Linked DNA regions of Neodiprion lecontei. The protein of the gene in region 1 binds, or shares a complex with, the protein of each later gene. Links are inferred from orthologs where the notes say so. Each region holds a gene or a part of one and is shown on either strand. Other genes may lie near its edges.

The links.
Region 2: the proteins of GRB10-interacting GYF protein 2 (region 1) and eukaryotic translation initiation factor 4E type 2 are in contact, whole or in part, in a crystal structure (PDB 5NVM), measured with the Homo sapiens proteins. The link is inferred for Neodiprion lecontei from reciprocal best matches to the Homo sapiens genes GIGYF2 and EIF4E2. Residues at the interface, in NP_001096616.1 of Homo sapiens: Leu38, Ala39, Asp40, Tyr41, Arg42, Tyr43, Gly44, Arg45, Met48, Leu49, Leu51, Phe52, Leu53, Asn56, Lys57, Ile58, Pro59, Asp61, Leu62, Asp64, Glu66, Phe67, Pro69, Ile70, Leu71, Gln72; in NP_004837.1 of Homo sapiens: His54, Pro55, Leu56, Gln57, Tyr64, Arg66, Asn81, Lys83, Gln84, Ile85, Gly86, Thr87, Val91, Glu92, Phe94, Trp95, Arg96, Phe97, Ser99, His100, Met101, Val102, Leu107, Phe113, Glu149, Asn150, Leu153, Leu156, Gly157, Glu158.

Annotation. Positions count from the first base shown.
Region 1 is NC_060263.1:40,978,395-40,983,266, forward strand, and holds the start of GRB10-interacting GYF protein 2, read right to left. Parts: upstream 3,306-4,872; 5' UTR 3,121-3,305; intron 2,449-3,120; 5' UTR 2,436-2,448; coding exon 2,404-2,435; intron 1,602-2,403; coding exon 1,370-1,601; coding exon of another isoform or gene 1,361-1,369; intron 1-1,360. Other genes in the region: transcription initiation factor TFIID subunit 10, read right to left, coding at 4,099-4,300, 4,391-4,455, 4,521-4,640. UniProt on the Homo sapiens protein: Key component of the 4EHP-GYF2 complex, a multiprotein complex that acts as a repressor of translation initiation. In the 4EHP-GYF2 complex, acts as a factor that bridges EIF4E2 to ZFP36/TTP, linking translation repression with mRNA decay.
Region 2 is NC_060260.1:3,932,770-3,937,907, reverse strand, and holds eukaryotic translation initiation factor 4E type 2, read right to left. Parts: upstream 2,986-5,138; 5' UTR 2,861-2,985; coding exon 2,841-2,860; intron 2,467-2,840; coding exon 2,391-2,466; intron 2,296-2,390; coding exon 2,053-2,295; intron 1,878-2,052; coding exon 1,725-1,877; intron 1,608-1,724; coding exon 1,471-1,607; intron 1,385-1,470; coding exon 1,348-1,384; 3' UTR 663-1,347; downstream 1-662. UniProt on the Homo sapiens protein: Recognizes and binds the 7-methylguanosine-containing mRNA cap during an early step in the initiation. Acts as a repressor of translation initiation.

The DNA.
Region 1 (4,872 bases):
TATAGAACTGTGAACTCTTTAACGGTAGCAGTCAGCGGTTCACTATCACATTATCACTGATTTTATGTAATAAACTTACAAACGCTTCGTTGCTACAGAATAAAAATTGATCAACTTCGGCTACGGACATATCGATTACCGCAATAGAGATGAATCTTTTTCACGACAAGGGAAGGCCAAGCAATTGAAGTGCAGAGGCTTATACAAGCCAGGAAGTTTGGCGCAAGGGCTCCAGAGAGTGGCTGTATATTTTTAGAACACGACCAAGAATGACACAGTTCCCAATATAAGATACGACACTAATACAAGACGATACGAAAATATATGTATGTGCACATATTGAATCGCATTCTATCTCTTCTTACATTTTAGTCAAATATCGATCTATTCGAAATAAAAATATTCTTACATCTTCCAAGCCATGTAGCAGTATCCATAAAATCGTAATTTCAATTTTATCCAACCTACATTTTGTTTGCTCAAATACAAATACCGTGATTCAAAGTTCAAGGTCATATCGAGTTTGAAAATATTTAGCATCGTATATATATGCAAATGGAATGTTAAATATTACGTCACACATCATTATATGCATTAGAAGAATTCTTTTTACCAAATTCAATCTCATTGAACATTACATTTCTTACCATTTAACGCCATGTATCATTGTTGTTATTTTTTTTTTTTTTTTTTAACAAGTCATTTCGATGTTTTCTGTAAATGATTTTATCAAATTTTCCACAAGCACAGCAATATTTCATAGTATATGATGTGTGTGTGTGTGTGTGTGTGTGCGTGGGTGTATATATATTTAGTAGATATATTGACTTTTTGCATTGCAGAAACATGTTGATAAATATGGAAAATGTGCGCATATATATGTATATACATTTTCCATAATTATCACCATTTTTCTGTAATGAAAAAAGTTAATAGATCTACTTTTATTTATTATAATGAATCCAGGTTTTGCTTTGAATGAAACATAAGTTAAAGTTACACGAAGATTCTACTATTTACCCGTAAAGTTTAGTTGCTTACTTGTAAAATTTTTTCTAAAGTTATAACCATCAGACCGATTCAAGTTGTACTTGTACATTCCAAAAGACACAACACAACGAAGATAGATTTTCAAAAATGATAGCAAAGCAAATATTCCTAGTAAGCATATTGCAATGAGATGCATTGGCATGGTGTGTAACCTTAGTGTTTACTTTTTTTTCATTTCTGATTCTCAATTTCGAGAAGAGATTCTAACAGGAAACGAGTCATTGGGACAGAAAAGATGAGCAGGAAATAAGTTAGGTATATGTGCGGAATGAGCAGAAATTATCAAAAATATGATGATAGTAATAACAACCACATTTACCGCCTCTTCTTCTGTCATTGGTGTGAGTGCCAGCGGTTGTTGAGCTTGTATAATGTAGAGGGCAGGAAAAGAAGCGAGTGGTTCGGGTGCTTTATAATTCCGGTCAAACAGAGCTAACATCTCTTCTCGACCGTATCTATGCTCAGCTAGCTGGTAACGAGGGGTGGTCAGGATACTAGGCCCTCCCCCTCCTCCGCTGGTATTGCAACCGTCTCCTGACAAGTTGCGCAACCTGTACAACGGCAAAGTTTTGTCAGAGAGATGTGAGGAAAGGAAAAAACAGGGAAACAGAGAATAGCTCACCATGCAGACATTGATAACTATAACTTATGCGCTACATATATTATAAAATTGTGCGAGATTCAATTCTTTCTTCCTCTTTTAATCCTTTAGCTACTTTATTTATTATTTTTCAGATTCAGTTGTTCGTAATGATGCGACTAAAAGATTAAAGAAAAAAAGAAACTCGTTTTGTTACGCAAATGACAGAATATACTTTTTGACTTGATCGTGTTGTCTTTCATGGTACACAAAAATTTTGATTGTAAATATTTAAAAATTTCAGAGTATCTTATGAATTTTTTATGCTTTATTAGTTTTTAGTGGAAGTGGGTTTTAAAGTACTTTTCAGGTCTCTAACTGACTTTGCATAGTAAAAATGTCAAGTGTGAAATGCACTATCTTTTTATGATGAGTAAATACCTTTACTTTCGGCTTTTCAATAATGACAAAGTATAGTGTTATCTAAAAATCATCATATAAATGAAAGCAAATGTCAGACAATGGTGAAAGAAAGATTCATTTATAGTTATAAAACCATCGCTTCAAAATGAAATTTTTCACTTAGATTAATCAAATACCAATCACAAGATTATCAAAATTTTTTAAATGCCAAAGAATCTGTTTGCAGGATTTATTTCTTAAAATTGTATAAATGATAGTATCTCAAAATTTTAATGAAAATTTAGATTCTGAATGATAAAATCTGCTGCCAAATCATAACGCCAGCGAAATTTTTTTAGGGAATAACTTACCACTCTGGACCAAATCTCATTGATTCCGTCATCTCGCAAAGTTAGCTGAAAAATTAAATAAAGTAGCATGAATACATGTATTTGTTTGGCACAAACGGTCAGCAAAGAAAAAATACAATAGTAAATAATAAATAACAGTCTTTATCCGGATTTTAAAAATATAATATTTAACTGTTACTTCACGTTTTGAGAATTTTTATTCAATTTCTGTTTTACTTACACCCTGGACATTCGATAACGCGGTTAAAGCTCGAGTAATTCGCGTATAGGGATGATTTCGCGTTTGAAAGGATTGATGAATTAGAACACGAAACAGATGATTTAGAATATACCTAGAATATACAATAGATGCAACAGACTGGAGAACGTAGAGGAGCCGAAATTAGCGTCACGAAAGTGTCGAGCAGCGGGAAATGAAACTGCGATATCGTTGCGCGGAAAGGAACGAATACCAGAATCGAAAGACGCGAAAACAGAAATATTCTTCCCGTTTATTTACGACATATTTTTTGACGGAGCAGAATCTACGTAGGTATGTATGCATGTAGTATCCCACAGCAGCCAAGGTGGCAATATTAACCAAACTTTTTTCGATTGTAGAAATCACGATATGCCACCGGATCATCATATTCTTTGATAAAAGTTTGTCACCAATGCTTTTGTTGCAATATTTCACTGCCAGTAGCGTCTAGTTTGCTATATAAATTATTGAAATACCTTATTGGGGTTCGGAATTATTGGGCGAATGAAACAACACACCAATATGGCCGATGGGTTTTTTGAGATAGAACGCTGAACGCATGCGTAGTGTTTTTTGTCACGTGATCAGAGATTTAAAGCCAAACCCAAATCCCCGTACAAGGCGCCACTTGTACGAAAGTGGAAGACCTCGGAAGATCTTTTGCTTCCTGCTTTTAAAAAGTACCTTTTATTTGCCTAAACGGAAGTTTTGAAGAAAAAACTGCAGATTGGCTGACCTTTGAATACCGAGTCGTTACCGAGTTCTTCAACTCTTTTGTTTTCGAAATGTGGCAAGTAAAATAAACCCAGACATAGGAACTCATTTCAACCCGACTCCGGTTTGTTTATCAATTTTTTTTTGACAGATTATATCATCAATTTTAATCCTTCCACTTACTTATGTCCTAATGTACGTTACAACTGTGACGAAAATATCGGTCTGATATATTACTTTCCAACACAGACATTCATTTCAACCGACCAAGTTATTTTACCGTTCCGACTCTTTGACTTAACCGACTCCTGATTAAAGCCATATATGGTTAAAGCTGGCTGTAAAAATTAGGAAAAATTTAAGAAAGTTTCAACTGATACCGACAGATTTACGGATTATGTTTTGAAATCGAAAACAGCTATTATTTTCATCGTATCGATTTGTAGTACTATAAATCTGAATGGTAATTAATTTCTCTTTGCAATTGTGTCTAAAGGGTAAGAAAGAGACTCTTATATTTTAAGACAGTTTATTCAAAGGGATTTTAAGTCGTTACAAAGAATAGTAACAATAAAACGTTCTTTTTTCCAGATCTGTGCAACCGGCTATTTAAGAGTGAATCATTTGAGCTTAAGCAAACTGCATGAAAGAATTTTTTTAGAAATCCACACCTTTGAGAAGTCATTCAGATACAGTATAGAATTAAGTTTCTCTCTGATAAAGGGACTCATTATTATAAATCAGACAAAGTAGTGCGGCTTCTTGACCACTATGCCATATTCAGCAACAGCTGGTGTCAGGTCTTCCATTGTTAACGTGTAGCGGCGATCCTTTCCTTTCGTCTTAGTATTTTGATTTGCTCCTCTCGTCTTACAGTGCTGTAACGCATCGTTAGCTATTTCAGAGATGAACTTTTGAGCTGCTAACGAAACTAACCTGACACTAAAACAAGGAGAATAGAATTGTTCCATGAGCAATTACAAACCAATAAATAATAAAATATCTATCGAATAATTCTCGTTTTACTCTTACATTCTTGGATCAGTCGTGTTGAAACCAGCTGTATGGAGATAGTGAGCACTGATCGCATCTGGAACCTGAAATAAACTGCTTGTTTTACAAAGATATAACTTCTTCCAATATCATAGAGCGACTTACGTACAGTCGGAGTATAATCTTCAAGTTGCAGTAGAAAATCGGATAAAGGTTGCCCAGCTGATCGAGGTTCTTCGTTAGTTCCCGAATATATCGGAGGTGTGTCTCGTCCGTAACCTTCTGCCATTTCCGTAATTCAGATTTCGTTAAATCTGAGCCGCTGCAATTTCTCTAGTAACGAACGATGTTTCGATTTCTCGTAAAAACGGTTACAAGTTGTGGCTTTAGTAGCATGAAATTATTTCTAGAGGGTAAGATTATCGTGGATAGATGAAAAAGGTTAATTTAGATGTAAATAAATATTGCAATCCCTCTCTCTGGCAGTACAATAAGCAGAGAGAAACCTTCGAAAACTCCAG
Region 2 (5,138 bases), on another chromosome or scaffold:
GTACACTGAACAATAAATAAAAATTGTTTCCTTTCGTCTGTTTATCTATGTAGTAGATGCATTCTGCTGCATTGGTTGATTTGTGTTCATATATTCACATCAGTAAGTTCGCTTTCCGAATTGTTTTTTACATGCCACTATTATATTTAACATGAAATGGGGCAGACAGTTTTTGTCTACTTTTTCGAAAAACGGAATATGTGCTTTGTAGGGCGTGATTAATAACATTAATTGCAATTGAAACCATTTACAAAATCATCCTGGTAACATCAAGATAGAAAAAAAAAATGAAATAAAAAATACTTTTACACATTGGTTTTTATTACAAAAAATGGGGGGGGGGAACGTATAATACAGGTACGTACCAATCGAATAATAAACATTTACTTGATCTTCCAAAATCTTTAAAAACATCATCTTAATAATAACAGCAGCATATTATACCATATATACTTAGCTTGCGCGATACTGACCACCTTGACTTTGCATTTCCTACTTAAGAAGCGGTCGAAAATCGGCAACCTAGCGATATATTATTCCTTAGAGTAAGAAATAGTAATCGTATTACTGTCATCCTAACTGTTATTTGCCACTTCATGTAGATGATAAATATGCTACACGCTATTGAACAATCAAAGCCATAATAAAAACTTTCTGTAGTATTAGCACGGAAGTTGATTTCAATATTTATTAACAATACAGTAAAGAATACTAACTACAATGACTTGAGCTCCTTAGCATGTGGATCTTCCTAAATAAATTGTATCAGCAAGTGATTTAGAATGTTGAGTATTATGATTAAACTTAACGAAGGATATTAACTAGGACAATTTAGTAGTAAAAATCGGAAAGGAATTTTTCTCAAATTTTCGCAGATTGTGGAAAATATTACACTTGGGAGATGTGGTGATTGCTTGAAATGTGTAAAATTCGATTGATCGTAAATCTTAAAGTAAATTGTCATATAAAAATATAATCCCATTGCGTACTCAATAAACGGATTCAACGAATTGGTAGTTAATAGTCGTACCTCTTGGCATAACTTTTTTTTGCAACAAACTGTTTTGCGCCACTCGCATTGCTCGGTTTACCGATGAAAAGTCAGCTGTTGGAGAAGTAGGGTACGTAGATGGATTGTAGAAAAAACTGCTAAATATTACAATTGCTTTTCTTTGTACTCCAGAACTTTTCTCTAGTCGTAGGTTGAGATCATCGTCACAGGTGGACATAGCAGAACTAACTGCAACTATATGCCTTTAGAAAGTGTTTTAATTTCAAGGCTTTCGAATATCACGCCCCACTATAGCACAATAATCTTTAACAAACGACAAGTTAGGATATCGTCAGTCAGTGATGTTGGTGTTGCGGTATCATATTAAGGTGCCTGAAATTAAAAAAAAATATAATTGAGTAAACATATGGTAAGAGAATCAGTGAAATAAATTACCATTAAAATTCCAAAATATTTACTTGAGGCTATCGTTGTGAGTCTTGTATTCCATAGAGGCACTGGCAGGAAGATATAACACACGCCTCAACGTATCTCTAATTCTAGCTGTAGTTGCGGCATCCGATGCAGTTTTGTTCCACACGCAGATTATATCCTCCTGAAAAAAAACAGAAAAATGAAAATAGTAAGCAGTATAACAAACATTTTGTCTCATGCAATTAATATTTGGCTGGTGATGTTTCTTTTAACAAATGTTACAATACTAATATCTCACCTGAAATCGTATAGATACGACTGCGCCACATATTTCCTCGCCAACCATAAATTGCTCACCTAACATTGCCATCACAAGATTTTCCCAACAGCGCGAAACTAAACCTTTTCTTAACCTGACAATCCATTTTCCTCCTCTTTGATTAGCTTCATCCTTTGGAAAAAATAAATAATTATTAATCGGTTCCTTCGGATTCGTTTGCGCAAAGATTCTAAAGATTTTCTCAACCTGGGATCTGATGTCACTGAGGGTTTAGACATTGACTTGAATTATTTCACATTCCGTCATTTTCAACATTTTCAAAGTTTTCTCCAGGATTTACACGTACCTCCCACATCGGTTTAATTCCTGCTTTGAATAAATGAAAATCTGTGTGCGTAGTGAGTTCCGAAGGTCTGACTAAGTGGCTGTAGAGGCCCCAGAATTGTTCTACACTAGCAAACCTCCCAACGAGCTTTAAATTCTGGTCATAACTTTGGATATTTGTCTGTTTCCCAGGGTTCCGTCTGCTATACCAGAGGCAATATGCGTACTGGAGTTTGTGCTCGTTTGGACTTATCTCTATGGGGGGCTGTAACAATTGTTAAGTTAAGCAATTGTAAAGAACATAACTGCGAGTCTGACGATTGTTACTAAGGTATGACGTTCATTCCCAAAACTGAATACCAATGTGTCTTTTTCAGCTCGCTGACTATCTCTGGACTGCGAATCGTCATCACCGCTGTCGTCGCTTGTCTTCAAGCTGAAAGAACAGCACACGATCGATCAGTATGTCTAGTTACTCGATTTAGTCTCAAAACGTTGTCACATTGGTTTTCTTGAGCACCGATTATTCAAACGTGTGGATAAATTTTTATAGCGAGAGTGGTATATTTGTAAAGCGGGAAGGATTTTAGAAGCGACAATTGTGTTCAGCTTGTTTGTTGATCTTCCCAATTTGGAAGGGTTTTGAAAAATCGATCCTAATAATTTTTTGGAAAAGAATCACATGATAACTGCGATGGACGGTGATCTTCAGTCAGAATTGGAAACACAAAACATAACCCCTAGTTTGCATATGGTTATGGGATTATGGAATACACGTATAAAGATGATCGGTACGGTTATCCTACTTACGCGTCAAATTTGTTGGACATGGTTAGAGTGGTGGTATAAATATATATATAATATGATTAAAATACTATAAACAATACGCTTAAAAACGTATGATTAAAAATATAAAAGCTTCTTGTATCACTTCTCTTTATGTATTTTTATTTTCCTATATTGGCAGCAGTTTCATACGATTTGCAACATAGATAGGTATAAGTGCAGTTGGCTAAGGCTGATTTTTTCATTCATTTTTAACATGTTGGATGCCCTGTAGCTCGCATTTCAAATCTATAATTAATTTCTCATTCCTGTAGAGAAAACTAGCCAAAAAAAAATTATATCAAGTAGGAAATATGTAATAAGATTTTCCGATCGGGCATCGGAAGCTGTAACTTTCGTTTGAGTAAACTATTCTATTGAGGGTAATCGGATCGGTACAGAATCAAACATCACTGTCGATATGGATGATTGAAATATTTAAATGTTGGTATATAAGGTCTGGCAACGTACCTACTTTCTGTAAAAGATGCTGAAGATTTTCAACATAATTATGTTTCAGTTCTGTGCCCCACCTAGTGCTCCACTAGTAAATATCCTCCGACGTGACGTCGCTGTGCTACGTATAAAGAAGAAAAGATTTATTAAGATGCAGATTGCTCCTCTCTTCTTGCCATTGTGCTTTCGGCCATTGTTGTGCTGTGTGTTTAAAATTAAGGACAGTATATGTATAATATAGAATAACAGGTACAGCTACGAATATAGCACTGCAATAAATCTTATAGAAATGAGCTCTCATTGAGATTTCTCTGTATTTATAACTCGACGCGAGAAGGCAAAAATCAATGTAATGCCATCTGTAAGGTAATTGGACTCGTATTTGTACTACGAGAACTCGTTGGGCATTTTGCGGTGAAGTTTGAAAAATTGTTGTACAAGAAATTAAATAACTATAAAAATGGATAAAAAATATTATCTCTAATTATGAATGTAGCTAATACAGCTTTAACCGTATATTGATTATGTTAATGATCTATTGTGACAAGATCGGAATTAGATAAGCTCTCTAAATACTCTTTTCTAGTCTATTAATTTATATCATTTATATGTAAATGTATATTTCTTCAGTTTATACAATCACTGCACTAGGATTACCCTTGCCACGTTTTATGGTGCGTTTGTGTAGTTTGTATATTATTAACCTTACGTATTAATCTATTTGCGACAAGTTGTGAGTGTTTCTAATTTCTTGGTAATTATTTATGTACATGTATGTGTATATATGTATATGTGTACATATACATGTGTATATATATATATACACATATATACATATGTATGTGTATATACATATATGCACTAGAGTGTCCCAAAAAAACCGAATAATTTCGGATCTGCATTCCGTCAAATATATGCATATATTTATTGTTCAGTTGATAATTCTGGGTTTATAATACATAAAAATTAATTTTTGTTATATTTACGAAAAAAAAAGCATAATTTTAAACAGTCCGAAGTTTGAGGCTCGATATTTTTGAAACGGCTGGATTTACGCAAAATGTCAATCAGATCTTTTTTGTAGAGCATCAAATTTCCTATAAGACCTGATTTTGTCATACTTATGAAGTAGCTCGTTATCCCATCACAAAATTCCAAATTTCAAAAAAAAATTTTCCCATGTTATTTAAATGGGAAATAGAAAATTACAAATCGCCACCTCTAAATATTAATATTAAGAGCTTATATTTTCACACGGTCATTTTCTAGAGATACTCTGACGATTTTTAAATGTTCTTTGAAAAAAAAAAAATAGTCGGTTTTTTTGGGACACTCTAATATACACATGTTTAAAACTAGATTTTTACAATAAACACAGAGGTTTTAGTATATTCACATACGGATTTCTGTGTATAGGTATACTTGAACTAAAATATCCTTCTCCCTAATACGGAGTTGTTCGTAATTCGCATTTGTTCTTGTAACCCAATGTCCTACATACGATGGCAAAAATCTAGATCCAACTTAACTGAGTCTCAAAGCCCTGTTGACATAAGAGCAGCTATTCGATAGAAATTATAGTTTATAGTTTACACAGCCCATTGCAAGATATTTCATTATAAATACATATGTTTCAATGTATTTAGGAATAATTTATCAAATATACACAGGTCATGTGCAAATAATAAATGAATTCGACCGCAGTTTGATGTATTCATTAAAGCTTCAACAATAAACTTTCAGCTTTGTTACTTCTTCTATTTTATAATGGATAATCAAAAACATTTCCGACTGTTCGTACTGTGGAAGCATGGTGATTAAACCAAA